2 linked regions of the Oryzias latipes genome follow. The main gene of each other region encodes a partner of the protein of the gene in region 2 in a complex. Links are inferred from orthologs where the notes say so. Each region holds a gene or a part of one and is shown on either strand. Other genes may lie near its edges.

Region 1 (3,304 bases), on a different chromosome or scaffold from region 2:
AATAAATCCGTCCTGCAGTTTTCTGACTTTCTCCTCAGCTACTTCCTCTTTTATAAACCAGGTGCTACACTGCAAACACTCTTCAAATAGAGGAATAATGAATGTACTGTCAATTGCCATAAAGAGCAGAGTAAACTTGTATTTTAACAGAATTACAGTGTTTTAGTATCATTTTTGTTCACTCTTTCTGGTACATCATATCAAGAACAAGGAAAAAATTAAATCGTTTTTTTTAAAATGGAGTACTTGCTGGATTAGATGGCTTTAGAAGCTACATTTATGCAACACAAAGTGTTTTTTTTTTATTTGTTTTTTGCACGGCTTACCTGTGGAGATTTTTTAGCTGCTTATCTTATCACAGCTCTCCTTAGGTCTTGCCACATTTTATTCAAAATACTTGCAATGTTGTATCGTTCGTTTAAACAAAAGGTCTGTAGCCGCCTCCAGAATGACAGCTTTTCAAACTACTTTTTTGTTATCGTTTCTGCTCATTTTACTGCTAAATCACCAAATATGTATTGAAAAAAAATGTATTTTTTGTAAACTGCTTCTGTATTTCAGTTTGTCTTAAGTTGATTTTTTTATCATGAATAAAGAAATGTTTTTATACTGGTACTTAAAATATGATGTACTGCAAACTAAATCCAATTAAAAAAAAGATTTTGAAAACACTGTATGCATCTTTATTCAGAGAAAGTTACACATTCAACAGTCTTTTTCTTTTATAAAGTCTTTTCTGAACAATTACACAATTTTCTTTGAGCCTAACAGCATTCTTGGCACATTTCTACACATCTGTTAACAAGTTCTGATCAATATAATCAGAGTATGAGCGAGCCTAATGCAGTTTAACAAACTTATTTTGACAGTTTGTGATAATTTAGTGCAAGTTTCCTTAATCCAGACATCAGCAGCTTTTGTGAGGGGAAAAAGTAGGAGGATGAAACATTAATTGTGTTGTTTTTTTCATCATTCAACATTCAGGATGGGCTTGAAATGAACTTTTTGTCTTTAATTCCAAATTGATTAGGAATACCAAGGGTTTAAAGACGCACTCCAATAAAAATTGTTTTTGACATGCTCTTGTGCCATTTTTCTGATGATGGATGGAATGTATAAAAGAAAATTTCTGAGTATTTTTTGTTAAATCATTGTCAATCAAGAGTAAATTAAAAAATGTTGTTTGAAAAAAGTTGCATTATACGCTGGACGGACCGCAAGCTCCCTACGATCTTTGTCTGGGTGCAGATAGTTACTGAACATTCATGTGGTGTAGGAAGATTTTGTTGTTGTTTTTCTGATTTCTGATCATTTATGATTGTTTTCAGAGTTGGACAGTCACTTTTCACATCATTCCAACTCTGCATGAATGCAGCATTTCTCTAAGTCTGCGTTTTCCCCTGAGGAAAGTGCAATCAGTGCAATTGGCTCTAAAATGAGAAAAAAAAAAGTCACAGCTTTGAAATAAAAATTCAAAGATTTTCAGCTTTAAAATATATATGTTAATCCCATGTCACTTCTTTCTCTTATGATGTGGAGGACCCCATTCCTGGTGTAAACAGAAAGGTCGCGGCAATGGGGAGGGGGCAAGGTTGATTCAACCCTCACAACTAAGAGGCAATTTTCTCCTGCCGCTCTGCAGGAACTATGTCCTAGAAAACGACAGGTTTTTTTTTGATTTTGGCTAAAAACTACATAATTAGAGTAAAAAGATAAAATAAAATAAAAACACTGTGAAATTAGATCAAAAGAGGATTGGAGTGGGGCTTTAAGATATTGGCTCCTAAAGGAAGATTGGCTTCCCCTCTACCTATATACAGAACCAAAAATAATAGCATTTAAAATAATAAATTGTCAAATGATGAACAAAACAAACAAAAAAAGTGCAATTTTTCAATATCACAACGTATATGATTATGACGTGGTAAAAACTGCCTACATATCTGTTTTCGCATATATAAAAGCAGAAAACTGTTACGGACATAATGCTATGAAAGATTGACTCAAATGTATTCATTTCTTAGCTATAAATGACAATTCTACCTTTTTTATAGACTGAATCAGTTAGGATGCAAAGTTCCGCTCATAGCTCTGAAATATATAGCTAAAAAATATACATTCAGGAACAGTTGGGAAAACAGATTTCTGATGCTACACAGCCCCAACCTACAGAATACGAGGGACCCCCTGCTATTATTAGAACAAGTGGGCATCCACACAATGTGAGGCAGGTGGTGTTAGTGCTCCAACTCATTCAAAAAGCTTCCTCTTTCTGCTTTCTTGAATAGACAAAATATATATACATATTTTTCAAATCATTTTAAACATTGATCAAAATGCTGCAGCTCATTCAGATGGATATAAACAATCACCTAACAAACTTGATTGGATTCTTTGCAATGTGTTTCTTTATAGGCAGACTTGCATTTTGAACCTTACAGGACGTTTTGCAGAATAAAAAAAGAGGTTTCAGTCACTGAAGGAAGATTCACTGTCAGAACTGGAGGCAGCAGCCCCTTCGTTCTCTGTGTTGGCTCCTGCTCCGTCGGGCACAGGGGCATCCGGCGTGCTATTATCAAAAGACAAGAGGACACATTTTTGTCATTATTAGTGGAATAAAGATAAAAAAATAGGAGCGCTGCTATTCACCAAACCATGTAAACTCACTCGAGTAGGCTGGGGTCCAAACCCTCCAGGATCATTTTGTTCCTGATGGCCATCACTGGAACACCCTTGAATAATAATAAAAAAATACATTACATAAAATAATACATTAAATTACTGAACAAAATATGACTTTTGTTAAACATTTACATCAGATAATAACTTACCACTTGAACCATTTTCAGGTAGCGGGCATATCGTGGGTCTTTGGCCACTGTGAGGACATTCTCTGCAACGGCTGCTGCTTTTTGCTCAGGAGCTTCTTGTCGTGCCTCCTGAGGCTGAAGCATGAAGAAACGTTGAAAAGCAGCTTTAAAGGAAACTATAATCCTGATGAATATGGCGAAAATAATATCTGTACACTAAACAGATGCTCAGAATGTTTCTGTAACGCACACAGGCAACCAGATCCCTGCTATTCAGTCTATATTACTAACTGGTTCCTTATTTGTTGTGTAAATAAAGCAAGATTGGAAATTTCAAAACTACAAAAGAGAAATATGTGGGTCAAATCGAGATCAGCTTGAAGGGAATGAAAAACCACAAAGTAAAATTAAAAACAATTGAGAAAATTAGTGAACAGTTTTAAATTCAAAAGTACACTTTGGTTATTTTAATTAAATTAAATTTTAAAAAATAA
Region 2 (3,032 bases):
TTGCAGAAAATGATGCAGGCTCCGAATGTTTACCCTGAGATTCCACCACATCTATGGCAACGTCCGTCACGATGTCCATCCCCGTCGCAATGTCTGCCAAACACGATTTTAAATTGGACAATGCGCCGTTGACAGCACTCAGAGACATTGTGTTCGTAACTTTTATCCCTAAAGTCCAAAGAAAAATCACTGTGTGTTCACCGTTATTGATATCTTCCTTATGTTAACGGCTAGCTAGCTAACTGCTAGCCTTATACTCGCGCCGTCTTGCGAAAAGATGAGATATGCCAATGTATCTCAAAATAGAAAAAAAAACAAAAAAGATAAGTAACTATTCTTAATTCAAAGTACAACCAAAGATCAAACGATAACAAAAAAATAAGAAGGAAAAGGAAGAAAAGTAGTAAACATTTGAGATGAACGGAAGTTACAGTTTCACTTCCGTTTGTTTCTTCAAACTAAAAGCCATCAAATAAATTCATAAAGAAAACAACGAGCAGTAAAGAATTATACTGTATTTATTGATAAACAATACCACAAAATATTAGTATGGAAATGTTTTTGATTGAGCATTAAATGTACAGTTTATTAATACAAAACTTTATTGTTCTAGAAAATGAAATATGAACTACTTCTTGAAGCTTTTTTACATTTGACATTGTGGCCTTTTCTGGTTGAAATAAAAATGTATTTTTAACAAAACACATTTTGTTATAACATTGCAGAAACAGATTATAAGGCTGGGCATGAAATGTATATGGGGGGAAAAAAAGCACATCCTAATTTCTGAACAATTAATTAGAGCAAAATGATTGTTGCTTCTACCACAAAAATCTTTGCCACTAGATCAAGACTAATATAAACAAAGAAAAGTACAGTACAAACAAAGACTGCATCTTCAGTTTGATGTCCTTGTCCGGGGGCTCACAAAATAGTTCTGAATTCGTCAAAAATGAAACTGGGTACATGAGCTTCAACCACCTTAAAACAGATAGATAATAAAAAGAAATGCATGTTAACAATCCTTCAAGTTTGTAAAAACAAGCTGTCTTAGCATGACATAGCAATTCTTTTTCTTCCAGATACCTTTAAAATAAACCACCTCTAAAGTAACTGTTTTCTTACCTTGCGTGACAGTTTTGTGTATTTTACATAGTCTTCAAGGAACATCAGGGCCCCCACAACATCAGAGGGCATTTCAGGGATTTTCTGGCTGTGACACCAGTAAAAGACAAATTTAAGAAAACTGCAAACAATGGGTTTGATCAAAATGTTAAACTTTTAGTTACCTTGTGCACTGCTCCATAACAGAGCGGATGAACTGTCCAAGCAGAGCAAGGAAGTGCTGTGTGTATCTGGAGTGGAACTGCTTGAGCAGGGTGAGCAGACCCAGCACTAGTGGGGGCCAGTCGACAGGATCGGTTGCTTTCTTGCAGGTCATTCCTTTTACACAGAGAAAATCCTTAACTTGGCGTGTACACAGAAAAAGTCACCACAGAAATTCACAGATTCCAATCCATCAAGCTAAGATAGCGAGAAGTGAAACGCACCTTGATTTTTGTTGTACTGAAGTTTAGGCAGCTGAGCAATGATAAACAGGAGGTTGATGATGGGGAAGTAAGGAAGACGCTTTGTGGTGATGTAAATCTGTTTGAACCAAAAAGAAATAAACATTGTTTACTGGTGAAATGTGGCATTTTTAACAGGCTAATTAAAATAAAATAAAACCTTGCAAACCTTGCTGAGCGGGTTATGAATTCCAGCAGCTTCTAGGTAGGCAGTGATCTCATACAATAGAGTGTTTTCTTCTTTAGGATAAGGGAGAGATGGATCCTGGTAGTGTGCTTCTATGTCTGCCAGAAGAGACCTAACAAGAAGAAGAGATCACAACAGGTGGCAAAATGTAGCCTTAAGCTCACAAAAACACAATATGCTATAGTAACAAATGTTATCAGTTGTTAGAAATGAATGTATTCTAAAAAAAAAAAAAAGTGAGAAACACCTCGTGAACTACATCTCTAGGTACATATTTTCCATACAAAACTGCATAAAAAGAGCCTGAATTTGGCAGAAAACACAACACTTACTTGTTGAGGTTTTCCAGGGCAGCTGCCAGGTGTTTGGAGTCAAACTTGCAGGAGAAGTTAAGCTCATTGGCAATCTGCTGTCTGAGAATCTGCATCTGACCGACCTACAACAAAGGGATGGAACATCATTTTCATGACGTGAGCAGATATATCGAAAAATAAAATCATAAATGTTTTGATTTACCTTCATGATGGCCTCCAGGTATGGACCCCAGATCTTCTGGGATTTGGCCACAGCACTCGTGTACGCTTTGCTGGCATTGGCTATATAGCCAAAATACACAATCAAATGATTAATACCAATACATGACTTTGGCTATACATTTTCATGAATGAGAACAAGAATTTACCGACGATGCCTTGGACTGGGTTGACTGCAGCCAGCACAGTTTTGAAGACTTCCACCAAGGCTTTGTCCTTCAGGATGCTCTTCTGAAGCATTGTCAGGAAGTTCTAGTGACACAAACAACGATTTGAAAAGAATTTTACAAAATAAAGTTCAACTTCCTCAATATTTTTCAATTCAGGGTGTTGTTTTATTCCACGGGAAGTAAAATCAACCTGAAGTTCTCTGACAATCATGAAGCACAGAAGTCGATCCAGTCCGTTGAGTCCAAATGTACCCAGAGTGTTCTGGATCTCAGAAAACAGCCTTTTGTTCGTCACCTCCTGGTGACTCTTCAAGTCGTACCAGGTGTTCAGCTGGTCGATGTAGCAGGTAACCCTGTGGAGAAAACCTGTTCATCTAGTTGCCTTTGGAGATGGCAAAAAGCTCATTTATCCACCTTCCACCACCTATTCCCTTGAGGCTACTCTATAGGGTTTCTCTGAGCGGACATACTTTGGATCTGTGATTCGCAAGATCTCTCTGCACAGACGGCCGATGAAAGTGGCAGATTCATCCACAGAGGGAAACTTAGGAATGGGGATGTGGGTGGATTGGTG

Evidence for each region. The genes of interacting proteins can lie anywhere in the genome.
Region 1: washc5 (region 2) and washc3 share a complex: the UniProt entries of both Homo sapiens proteins name them as parts of the WASH core complex. The link is inferred for Oryzias latipes from reciprocal best matches to the Homo sapiens genes WASHC5 and WASHC3.

Annotation. Positions count from the first base shown.
Region 1 is NC_019881.2:17,524,764-17,528,067, reverse strand, and holds the end of washc3 (WASH complex subunit 3), read right to left. Parts: intron 2,946-3,304; coding exon 2,832-2,945; intron 2,733-2,831; coding exon 2,668-2,732; intron 2,570-2,667; coding exon 2,470-2,569; 3' UTR 668-2,469; downstream 1-667. UniProt on the Homo sapiens protein: Acts as a component of the WASH core complex that functions as a nucleation-promoting factor (NPF) at the surface of endosomes, where it recruits and activates the Arp2/3 complex to induce actin polymerization, playing a key role in the fission of tubules that serve as transport intermediates during endosome sorting.
Region 2 is NC_019874.2:13,947,098-13,950,129, reverse strand, and holds the end of washc5 (WASH complex subunit 5), read right to left. Parts: coding exon 2,929-3,032; intron 2,812-2,928; coding exon 2,649-2,811; intron 2,541-2,648; coding exon 2,438-2,540; intron 2,352-2,437; coding exon 2,272-2,351; intron 2,192-2,271; coding exon 2,088-2,191; intron 1,868-2,087; coding exon 1,738-1,867; intron 1,648-1,737; coding exon 1,551-1,647; intron 1,444-1,550; coding exon 1,290-1,443; intron 1,214-1,289; coding exon 1,126-1,213; intron 982-1,125; coding exon 925-981; 3' UTR 501-924; downstream 1-500. Other genes in the region: nsmce2 (E3 SUMO-protein ligase NSE2), read right to left, coding at 34-148. UniProt on the Homo sapiens protein: Acts as a component of the WASH core complex that functions as a nucleation-promoting factor (NPF) at the surface of endosomes, where it recruits and activates the Arp2/3 complex to induce actin polymerization, playing a key role in the fission of tubules that serve as transport intermediates during endosome sorting.